Linked DNA regions of Canis lupus familiaris. The protein of the gene in region 1 purifies or fractionates together with the protein of each later gene. This does not show direct contact. Links are inferred from orthologs where the notes say so. Each region holds a gene or a part of one and is shown in the gene's direction. Other genes may lie near its edges. The genes, in order: NEK7, ANKS6 and ANKS3.

Evidence for each region.
Region 2: the proteins of NEK7 (region 1) and ANKS6 purify together in Homo sapiens (affinity purification with mass spectrometry; 3 studies listed by BioGRID and IntAct, with this or other methods). This does not show direct contact. The link is inferred for Canis lupus familiaris from reciprocal best matches to the Homo sapiens genes NEK7 and ANKS6.
Region 3: the proteins of NEK7 (region 1) and ANKS3 purify together in Homo sapiens (affinity purification with mass spectrometry; 3 studies listed by BioGRID and IntAct, with this or other methods). This does not show direct contact. The link is inferred for Canis lupus familiaris from reciprocal best matches to the Homo sapiens genes NEK7 and ANKS3.

What each region holds. Positions count from the first base shown.
Region 1 is NC_049228.1:4,479,222-4,482,962, reverse strand, and holds the start of NEK7 (serine/threonine-protein kinase Nek7), read left to right. Parts: upstream 1-986; 5' UTR 987-1,005; intron 1,006-1,441; exon of another isoform or gene 1,442-1,460; intron 1,461-1,857; exon of another isoform or gene 1,858-1,970; intron 1,971-2,386; exon of another isoform or gene 2,387-2,405; intron 2,406-2,438; exon of another isoform or gene 2,439-2,925; intron 2,926-3,024; exon of another isoform or gene 3,025-3,650; intron 3,651-3,741. UniProt on the Homo sapiens protein: Protein kinase which plays an important role in mitotic cell cycle progression. Required for microtubule nucleation activity of the centrosome, robust mitotic spindle formation and cytokinesis.
Region 2 is NC_049232.1:56,228,138-56,231,878, reverse strand, and holds the start of ANKS6 (ankyrin repeat and SAM domain-containing protein 6), read left to right. Parts: upstream 1-872; coding exon 873-1,231; intron 1,232-3,741.
Region 3 is NC_049227.1:36,999,956-37,003,596, forward strand, and holds the end of ANKS3 (ankyrin repeat and SAM domain-containing protein 3), read left to right. Parts: intron 1-604; coding exon 605-729; intron 730-1,162; coding exon 1,163-1,304; intron 1,305-1,768; coding exon 1,769-1,941; intron 1,942-2,081; coding exon of another isoform or gene 2,082-2,103; exon of another isoform or gene 2,104-2,254; intron 2,255-2,271; coding exon 2,272-2,357; intron 2,358-2,799; coding exon 2,800-2,874; intron 2,875-3,070; coding exon 3,071-3,150; 3' UTR 3,151-3,162; intron 3,163-3,230; exon of another isoform or gene 3,231-3,250; coding exon of another isoform or gene 3,251-3,267; 3' UTR 3,268-3,585; downstream 3,586-3,641. UniProt on the Homo sapiens protein: May be involved in vasopressin signaling in the kidney.

The sequences.
Region 1 (3,741 bases):
GATAACAAGGACTTTGTATCTTGGTAACTATTATATCTTCTTTCCTTAGAACAGTGACTTAACATTTATTATTCCTTATTGAGCCAATGGAATTAACATCCCTTCTTGAGATCTTGACTTAACCTTTCTTTTTGGGCAAAAAATAAACTTTCCAAATCTTAATTCCATAGCTTTACTTTTTTTTTTTTGTAAATTTAGGATATTTCATTTTATTTTATGCTCAAGTGATTATGGGGGGTTGGGAAGTTTGTAATTTATAGGGCAGGCAGGCTGGCGATTCAGGTAAGAATTGCAATCTTAAAAAAAAAAAAGAATTGCAATCTTGAGTGTGAATTCTACGGGGCAGACAGGTAGGCTGGAACCTCAGGCAAATTTCTGCGCTGCGCCTGTGAAGCTCAATTCATCATTTGGCAAACCTGTCTTTGCTCTTAAGGCCTCTAATTGATGAAGTTCACCCTGTCATACGAACTTGTAAAGATTCTGGCATTAGTGCCTCATTGACTTGTGGGCCAGCAATTTTAGCGGGGCTCAGCTGGAGGAATTTTTTTCTGCTCTGCGTGATGTTGGCTGCAAGAGCTGGTTTGATTTACAGGGTCTGGGATGGGTTCACCCACGTGCCTAAAACCTTGGTGGGAGGTCTAGAGGGCCGTGCGATCTCAGGGGCTCTCCATGTGGTCTTCCCAGTAGGGTAGCTGGACTTCTTACAGGGAGGCTCACAGCTCCAAGAGCCCGAGGTGCAAATGCCAGTTCTCTGAAGGCCTCGCCTAGAATCTTTCACAGTATAGTTTCTCCCAAACTCCACCGCTCAAAGTCACCAGAGATCAGCGCAGATACAAGTGGGGAGGGAATGAGGCTCCACCTCCGTGGGAGGAACGTGCAAGAGCTCGCGACCCACAGCACCTGCGAGCGAGCAGACGCGTACCAGTGTCCTCTTGACACCCCCGTGGCTTTAACTTTTGAAGTCTCGGAGCTGTAATCTGTTCATTCTTGGTTCCAACCCCTTGGGTGGGTAAGCCGAGCTAGTGCAAGACCTGGTGGGGGGGGGCAGTAACAGCTACTTAAGGGGTACTTAGGGGCTAGGTTCTTGTCTTGAAGCACCTTGCTTATCTCGTTTAATTCTAACCTGGGTCCTGTCGAGGAGTATTATTACTGCTCTTGTGCTCACCCCGGGGGAGGTGAGTGAACTTGCTGCCACGTCACCGAGTTCATGGGGGGGTGGGGGTAGGGGTGGTACGAAGATTAGGGCGCCGGCCTGCTCGGCTCCGTACCGCCTGCTCCGGGTCATCTGCAGCAACACGTGCCCAGGTGCTCCCGGAGGAGAGTCTCGCGGCTCCGCTGGAGCCCCGGGGTCCCGGGGGGTCTCCGGTGCCTCCCAGTCCCCAGGAGCGGCTCAGTATTGCGGAACGCCCTAACAGCCCTAACAGCCGGCGTCCCCGATGCCAGGCGTGGTTAGCGCAGAGGTAGTTTGAACCACCTGGTAAAAGAGGGTGGAATCGACACGCCGGGATCCGGGGGGCGGGGGGGGTGTGCACCGGGGGAGCTCGCTGCTTGCACGCGGCGGCACGCACATGCCAGCGGAGAGGGCGCAGGCTCCCGGGCAGCGGCCGCCCCGGGCTCGGGGGGAGCCGGGCGGCGGGGCCCGGGCGCGGGAGGAGGAGCCGGCGGCCGCCCCGCCCCGCTCCTCGGGGCTGCCGGGATGTTTACACCGCTGACAGCGGCGGCCGCGGGAGGAGGGGCGGGAGGTGCGGAGGATGGGCCGCCGCTAGGCTCGCCCTCGGGCCGCGCCTCGCCGTGCGCAGGGTGGGGGCCGCGCCGGCAGCGTCCGCGGGGGCGGCGCGGCGGGAGGTGGCGATCGGCTCCCGGCCTCGCAGCCACAGCCCCGGGCCCAGCGGGCCTCTCCGCGGCGCCGCCCGGCCCAGCCGCCCCGGGGCCCCCGGCGGGCAGGAGCGCCGGAAACTTCCAACTTCCCGGTGAGTGGCTGCCGGGGGCTCGGGCGCCCGGGGCCGGGCGGGGCTGCCCGCGGGAGGCGGGCGCGGAGGGCGAGCACGGGAGAGCGCGGGCGGCCTGCGGGATCCCCCGGCGGGGCGGGGCGGGGCGGGGCGGGGCGCGCCGGGCGGGGGCGGGCGCGGGGGCGGGCGCGGGCGGCAGGAGCTCGGTGCCCCGCTCGGGCTTGGCGGCCTCGGGCTGCCGTGGGCGCCGCCGTAACTAAGAAGCTCGGCGGCGGCGGCGGCGGCGGCGGCAACAGGTCTCTGGTTGCAGGACCCGAGGAACTTGGGCGAAGTCCCGCCTCCCGGCCCTCGGCTGCTGCTCATTGGCGGCGCCGGTTATTTATCCGTCGCTGATTGGTTGGGTCCGGCTGTCAGGCTTCGGCGGCGGCCCGACTTCGGAGGAGTGAAGTTCGCCCGGTAGAGTGGGCGGGGGGCGCGGCGCGGCGGACGGAGTAGCCGACGGAGTAGCTGAGGTCGCCTGAGAAGTGCAGGGAGGATGGCCGACCCGGCGGGGAGTGGGGTTTCGTGGGACCCCGCTAGATTTAGCAGATGTGTGTGTGTGCGTGCGTGAGATTGCAAGGCAATAGAGAGCCTTGGTGGTGATGGTGGCAATGCAAAAATAAGTTGAGAATTGAGGCCGAAGCCAGGGAGACCAAGGGGACCCCCATAAAAAGAAAAAAAAAAAAAAAGAGAAGCCCACATTGCCGTAGCACAGTGCCAGGAAGGAACACTACCTACAGGATGCTGCAGTGGGTGCTGGAGAACTCGAGTTGCCTCTTTGCGGTGTCCTGCAGGCCTTGGGAGATGATGTGCCAGACAGGTAAATCGTGGTCTCTCGTGGCTGTACTCCTGGTTACGCATAGGTACTGAAAATAGACTTATTTTACGGGAGGGTATGTCGCATCCTTGGGCAGCCCTGCAGACGGGACTGGAAAGCCTGAAAACATTACAAAACGAAATGATTTTTCCCTGACTACTGATCGTGAGGATGCTGTTGTAAGAATCGAGGGCCCGTAGTTTCTAGAGCGTCGCGTACCTGTTATTAACCAGAACGACTGCTTCTGACTGTTCCTCCCAAGAGTTTGCAGCGTCGAGAAAGTACGCGCACTCCCTGCAGGCACCGGTAGTGTGTCCTGTGAGGTCGCCCTACAGGCTAGAGGACAGAACGCGTGCGTGGTGGTGACTGCGTGCGGGAGCTCGAGCTGCTGCGGGTGTGGCCGGAGGACGGCTCTGCAGAGGGACAGGCGGACAGAGCGCTGGGAGCGGTGGGTGATCGATCAAGCAAGAGGCACCATCAGCGCTTGCTGAATGGACGCCGAGTATTGCGGGCTTTAGTACTTGGCCAAGGCCAGCGCACCGGGAGCAGTTAACGTAGACCCTAAGCAATCGTGTCCCTCCCAGGGGTAGGAATCCTCTGCTGCCCGCGGGGGATCCAGTCCACAGCTTGCTTCATCCCTAAAACCGCAGCATCTCTTCGGCGGGTGCGGGACGAGGCGCTTGCCTGGGTTGGGGGAGAGGTGTGGGCGCTGTGAGACGCTGCCGCGTGGAGGAGTGTGACCCGCACGTTGAGAGGAGGTTCCTCCCCCTCCACACCCCCCCCCACCCCCGAGTGGAGACTGGCGGGAGGTCTGGGCTGGGGAGCGCCGCGGCGACCCGGGGCGACGTGCTGGCCTGCGCCGCTGCTCCCCGCGGCCTCCCCCCCGGAGGCCCCGCCCCCCGCAGCTCCACCCCCGGAGGCCCCGCCCCCCGCAGC
Region 2 (3,741 bases), on another chromosome or scaffold:
CGCCCGGCACACAGTAGGGGCGCGGCTCCCACGCGCGCCCGGCACACAGTAGGGGCGCGGCCCTGGCCCCCGCGCGTGCCCCGCACACAGTAGGCACACAAGAGCGCGGCCCCGGGCCCTGCGCGCGCCCGGCACACAGTAGGCACACAGTAGGGGCGCGGGCCAGCCCCCCACCCCCGCGCGCCCAGCACGCAGTAGGACCGCGGCGCCCCCCCCCCCCCCGCACGGCACACAGTAGGCGCGCGGCCCCGGCTCCCCCCGCCCCATCGCGCGCGCCCGGCACACAGTAGGAGCGCGGCCCCGGCTCGCCCCCCACCCGGCGCGCTCCCGGCACACAGTAGACGCGCGGTCCCGGCTCCCCCCCCACCTCCCCGCGCTCCAGGCACACAGTAGACGCGCGGCCCCGGCTCCCCCCCCCCCCCCCCACCTCCCCGCGCTCCCGGCACACAGTAGACGCGCGGCCCCGGCTCCCCCCACCTCCCCGCGCTCCCGGCACACAGTAGACGCGCGGCCCCGGCTCCCCCCGCCCCACCTCCCCGCGCTCCAGGCACACAGTAGACGCGCGGCCCCGGCTCCCCCCCCCCCCCCACCTCCCCGCGCTCCCGGCACACAGTAGACGCGCGGCCCCGGCTCCCCCCGCCCCACCTCCCCGCGCTCCAGGCACACAGTAGACGCGCGGCCCCGGCTCCCCCCCCCACCTCCCCGCGCTCCCGGCACACAGTAGACGCGCGGCCCCGGCTCCCCCCACCTCCCCGCGCTCCCGGCACGCAGTAGGCGCGCGGGCGGCGGGCGGAAGGGGGCGCTGGCGCGCGGTATCCGGGGGCGGAGCCGGCGCGGCGGGCCGGGCGGACGGGCGCGGGCCGCGGGCCGCGATGGGCGAGGGCGGGCTGCCCCCGGCCTTCCAGCTGCTGCTGCGCGCCTGCGACCAGGGCGACACGGAGACGGCGCGGCGGCTGCTGGAGCCGGGGGCGGCGGAGCCGGCGGAGCGCAGCGCGGAGCCCGAGGCGGGCGCGGAGCCCGCGGGGGCCGAGGCGGCCGGGCCCGGGCCCGGGGCGGCGGCGGCGGCCGGGGCGCCGGTGCCCGTGGACTGCTCGGACGAGGCGGGCAACACGGCGCTGCAGTTCGCCGCGGCCGGGGGCCACGAGCCGCTTGTGCGCTTCTTGCTGCGCCGCGGCGCCTCGGTCAACAGCCGCAACCACTACGGCTGGAGCGCGCTCATGCAGGCAGCCAGGTGAGCTCGGGTCGGGCCCCCAGGGCTGGCGTCGGGCCGACCCCGGGGCGAGCGGGCTCAGGTGGCCGCCCCGCCCGGAGCCCCTCCCGCAGACGCCCCGGGAGCTAAAGAGTCTGGGACTCGTTCGAGAGAGCTGGACTGGTGAACTTGGAGCAGCTCGGGATCCTAGAAGAAGTGGAAGCGCTTTTTAATGATAAAACCAGAATCTTTTTTTTTTTTTAAAGATTTTATTTATTCATGAGACAGAGAGAGAGAGAAAGAGATAGAGAGAGAGAGACAGGCAGAGGGAGAAGCAGGCTCCATGCAGGAGCCCAACGTGGGACTCGATCCCAGGTCTCCAGGATCAGGCCCTGGGCTGAAGGCGGTGCTAAGCAGCTGAGCCACCCGGGCTGCCCTAAAATCAGAATCCTACGAACAGTGGGCCTTTCGAGAAACAATCTGAAGACCTCGTCGAATAGAATCTTAGAGACACATGATCTTAGGGGTGTTCATTCATGCCTTCTTGCAACCTAGGTTTCCTAAGAACCTACCTACTCCTCTCCCTAGCCTAAGAGAGGGGGACCCTGCTGGATCCGGGGAGTCCCACCGACAGCAGCTCGCGCACGCGTGGGCAGGCCAAAGAGATAGGGCTCAATGAGTGGGGAAAGTGCGGGGAGCTCTGGACAGGGCAGACCCAGTTTGGGGAAGTGGAGGAAGGTTTTTGGTAAGGAGGATGCATTTATTCAGGTTGAGACTCTATAGGAATTAACCAGGACAGAAGAAGTGGGAGGTGGGAATGGGGTGATAGGAGGCCCATGCAAAGGTTTGGAAGCAAAAGTGAACGTAAGGCATTGGTAGGACTGCTAGAACCGTGATCAGTACTAGGAGAGGGCTAGAAGTAGTGGGAGATGAGCCTCCCCTGGAGAGGAAGGCAGATGCCATGTGGCTGGGCTGAGAAGGATGTGCTATCCTAAGGGCATTGGGGAGTAATAGATGGTTCTAGGCAGAGTGAGCGACACAATCAGATTTATGTTTTGGAAAGAAAGATCACTTTCACTGCAGTGTGAGGACGGATTGGAGGGATGGGCTAGAGTCGGAGAGCCTGGTTAGCAGCAGTCTAGGGAGAAGTGATGGTAGCCTGGACCCGAGCAGAGACAGCCGTGGGAGAGCAGTGAGGTGTTCGAGATGTATTCAGGAAGCAGGGCGAACAGGACTTGAAGCCCTGGTGGGAAGGAACTCCGGTGTACAGTAAAGTCACTCACCCCTGTTGGCCATCTTTTCAGGCCCCACCCACTCCTCAGTTTGGTCTCTGGTGGATGTTTTAGTAGCAGGAATGGTTACATTCATGTTTTTTCCTCTTCTGGACATGATAAGCTTTATTGAGCACTTTTTGTGTCCAGCACGGTGCTAAGTGCTTTAAGTGAGGTAACTCATTCAATCTGCAGAAACCTCAGGACGTGTAGGTACTGTCGTCATCCCCATTTTACAGATGAGGAATTGAGGCTCAGAGAGTTAACTTGCCCAAGGCCACACAACTCATACTATGGCAGAGTCACATTCACACTGAGGTGGGTGACCCCAGAGCCTGTGCTCTCAGCCTGTGCTCTCGGCCACCAATCTTGTAACCGACTGTTTCCCCTTAGTGTCGGCCACAGGGAAGCTACTCTCCAAATTGGCCAAATGCTAAAGGGACAGGTTGCATGGTGTTTGCTTTGGCCCCAACTTCACCCTTGGCCTCTTTTGTTCTCCTGCTCTCTCCATTTCTCTACCTGATAGTGAGTGTGGCCTCTGTGCCCAGTGCTTTGGGTGGTAGGCGTTTTTGCCCGGTCTTTAAACACAAGTGTTAATTGCCAAAATTAATTGGTAATCACAGCAGCTGTTCAGAAATTCCCACGCTTCCCTATCCTCAGTAATTACCTATTAGAAGCTTAGCATCCACAAAACTATCTCAGCCTTCCTTGAATTCTTTTAAGTTTCCATCGTAATTGAATGACCTCCCGGGCTACCTGTGAGTTCAGAAATGTCCATCCAAATGTCAGCACTTCTGTTCAGTTCACTTCTTTCCTTTCTGTCTGAACACTTTTTATATCAGAAGAGCTGGGGTTTCAGATTTTCGGGTCTAGGTTCCAAGTTTTGACTCCATCACTTTCAAAAGGAGACACTCTGCTTTCCACTCAAATCTTCAGTTTCCTCATCTGTGAAAAAGGCATTATTAGTTTATTTTAGGGTTTATTAAGATCAAATGAGATAAAAATGTGACAGCACTTTTTAATCTGCTGTAAGGAATTATACTAGATTTTATTTTAAGCTTGATAACTAAATAGTGGGATTTTTAAAAATTCTCTACTTCGGTGCAGGATACATGAGTTCTGTAGTCATTTCCCTGGCCTTCATCCAGACCATCCTCTGCTTGGTGATGCTAGTTATTCATTTGACAGAACCTACTGAGCCCCACTGTAGGTCAGCCACCAGTCCTGTCCTCGGAGAGCGTACAGTCTAACAGGAAGACACAGTGGTAGAGGTGAGGACTG
Region 3 (3,641 bases), on another chromosome or scaffold:
ATAAATAAATAAAATTAAAAAAAAAAAAAAAAAAAAAGAAACCACTGGACCAGGCAGCCCGGGTGGCTCAGTGGTTTAGCACCGCCTTCAGCCCAGGGCCTGATCCTGGAGACTGGGGATCGAGTCCTGCATCGGGCTCCCTGCAGGGATCCTGCTTCTCCCTTGGCCTGTGTCGGTGCCCCCCACCCCCCATGAATAAATAAAATCTTTAAAGGGGAAAAAAAAAAAACACGGGACCTAGAGGACATCTGATGACCTAGTCAAAGGAATGAGAAAAACCCTCCAGAATGCTGTATCCAAGTAAGAACTATCCTTCAGAAGTAAAGGAGAAACTAAGATGTCACACTGTCGCAGGCTAACAAAGCCAAGAGAGTTTGTGGCCACCGGACTCGCCCTCCAAGAAACTGAACGCTGTCCAAGCTGAAGTGAAGACACAGGCTCAGAGAGCCTCCGGGCTACCCATGCCGCCTGAGGGCACAGAGAGGGGGTGGCCGGGGCTCTGGGGGCCGCCAGCACTGTCCCACTGTGGAGCTTGGGGGCTGGCCGGGTTCACCCGGACGGGGCCACCCGTCCTCTGACCTGTCCCCGCTCCTGTACCCTCCAGGACCTCGCCACGCTGCTGGAGCAGATTGGGTGTCTGAAGTACCTGCAGCTGTTTGAGGAGCAGGACGTGGACCTCCGCATCTTCCTGACCCTCACTGAGAGCGACCTGAAGGAGATTGGCATCACGTGAGTGCAGAGGGGCCCTTCGTGGCCGCACCCCCGTCTCTGGCGTGAAGCTGAGCCCGCAGCTTCCCCTCATGTGGGTGGAACTAGCTGCCCTGTCTTGTCTGAGGTTCCACTTGCTTCCTATAGCAGCGTCCGCTCCAGCCCTCCAGCTGCCCCTGGCTTAGGTGCTGGAGGGCTGGGTCCTGTGGCTCCCTCAGGCTCCCCAAGCCTGGCCTGAGCCCCCTGTTCAGTGAGAACAGCAGCTGGGCAGGGGAGGCCAGCCCTAGCTGGGGTCACTTCTTAGAACCATTTGTCTTCTGCCCTAGGATCCTGGGGGCCACTCTCCCCCTTCCAAGCTGGGCCCTTTCTTAAGGGACCGTCTTGGTGTAAGGACAGTCCGTGGCATCTCTACGCACACAGCAGACGTATATACTTCTCTCTATCCTCCTCGCAGGTTATTTGGGCCTAAGAGGAAGATGACCTCTGCCATTGCCCGCTGGCACAGCAGTGCCCGTCCCCCCAGCGATGCCCTGGAGTTGGCCTATGCTGACCGGCTCGAAGCTGAGATGCAGGAGCTTGCCATCCAGCTGCACAAAGTATGAGGGGGCGTGCAAGAGAGGGGTGTGGAGACGCCTGCAGTAAAGGACAGCATAGGGGGTGAGCAGGGAGGACAGATCTGCAGGGTCAGCAGGGAGAAGCAGCCAGGACAGTTAAGGGCAGAGAGCATTATTGCTGTGCAGGAGGGGAGACACATGGGCGTCTGCCTGGGAAGAAGGCTCAGGAAGGGATGGGGACTCGGGGCAGGAGCTTACATGGACACAGAAGATCAAGGGGGAGGGCAGAGAACAAGCAGCAGGCTTGGATGCCACAGGGCTTGAGGGAAGGGGCCCAAAGCAGAGGCGGCTCTGTCTGGAGACACGCGTCCCCTTCCTCCGGCCCAGTAGAGTGGGAGTTGAGAGCCGGTGGGGATGGCAGAGCCGACTGGGGCTGGCAGGACCCAACCGAGGTGGCCCTGGCCTTGAATCCCCCTGGCTCACTCACCCGCCCCATCTCCTCTCAGCGCTGTGAGGAGGTGGAGGCCATGCGAGGCCAGGTGTCGCAGGAGCAGGAGCTGCGGGCGGTGGTGGAGAGCTGCCTCCTGGAGCAGGACGGTGCCCGTGAGGACGTGCGTGCCCAGCTGCAGGAGACGTGGGCCCTGGCCCAGGACGCTGCTCTCATCTTGGACCAGCTGCGGTGAGTGGGCACCTGAGCTGCCCTGGGCCCGACCCTGAGCCACCACTGCCTCCAGATGCTTCAGCCAAGGGTTGGTTTTAGGGCCTTCTGGGGCCACTCGCTGCCATCCTCCGTTTCATTCTGGCTTTTCCTTTCTGCAGGGCAGACCCAGGCAGCAGATAGGGCCCCGCGCATCTGCATGCTGGTCCCCAAAGGCGCCTGGTGTGCTTGCCCTGAAGGCAGGGCCCCCCTGACACTCAGGGAGATGGGGTATCTGTGTCCCGCTGGGGCCGTGGGAGGCACTATTGCCCAGCCTCTCCCCTCACCAGCGCTTGGCCTTGTGTCTGGCAGAGCCTGTCAAGCCGAACTGTCAGCCAGAGTGAAGCAGGAGGTGTCCACCCGAGGGCTCCCCCTGGCCGCTGCCCTCCCCACAGCTGGTAAGAACCGTGTTCTTGCCCCGGATCACGTAGGTGCTGTCCTAGGCCTCCGGTTCCAGCTCCAGCTCTTTCCTCCACACAATCGCAGGTCCCAGAGCGAGGGTGCCCTCTCTCACCCATGTCCTCCCCGTGGTGGGGGGCAAAAGCCCTTGGGCCCTGGCTGACGCTGCTGTCCACGATCTCAAGTGATTTCTGCAGCCTATAGTTGGGGCCGCCCCAGGACAAAGCCTCCCTGTAGGCCAGGCCCCCCCCCCCTTCCACTCCCGGGGCTACTGGCAGCCAGTGCTTTGGAAAAACAGCTGGGAGGACACACTTTGGTGTAGCAAGGTCATGCAGGAAGCAACAGCTAGGTGGGTCCCCTGGTCACGGCAGCTCAGGACAGAGGGGCAGGACCTATGGTGACCACATGCATTCCAGGCCCACCTGGCTTTATGTCCCACAGACTGGCAGGCCTCCCTGCAGGCTCTGAGCCTCCCTGAGCTGTCAGGAGCACTGGAGGATCGAGTCCAGGAAATGGGTGAGTGTCCAGGAGGGCAGCCAGAGGTCTCCCACCCACTGGGGGCCACAAGGGGGGAACAGGAGGAGCCCTGCTTGGTCAGCTCCGACCCTGGGGTGGCTCCTGCCGTGTAGCCCGCTTCCCCTCACTGCCAGGCATCCCTAGGACCTTCCCTTCTCACGCTGGCAAAGCAGGAACTAACTGCTCCCATCCTCAGGGCGAGTGCTATGCTCAGTGACCCAGAGCTTGGAGAAGCTGCAGGTGCTGAACGGGAAGGAGAACTGGCGGGAGCCTTAGCTGGGAGGGACGGTGAGTGTCCCCCAGGCCCCAGGCCGGGAGAGCAGGGCACCCTGGGCAGCGGTGAGCGCCCCCTTCAGGCTTCTCTTTCCCTTCTCAGACTCTGACGTTGGGTGACTGATCCACCCTGAAGCTGTGTGCCTGGAAGACAGGAGGGCAGAGTGTGGGCGCTGCCGCAGGCCGGGCCCCACTGGGCCGGAGGATCAGGCCCCAGGAGCAGCCGGCAGAAGCAGGACAGGGCTGGGGCCAGGGCAGCAAGGCCCACACGGAGGCAGGACGAGGGCCTCCAGCCCAGAATCTGGGGGTGAGGCCCAGAGTGGGCAGGGCCCTGGGGAGAGAGGATCCCCATACACCGCAGGTGCCCCACAGAAAGGACTGGGCACCTGGGCAGCATATGTCATTTGCTGGAAAATAAAATGTGAGATTTGCTGGTCAGGGGCTCAGTTCTGGTCCCGCGACACAGTACTAACTGACAGACCAAGGGGCAAGCC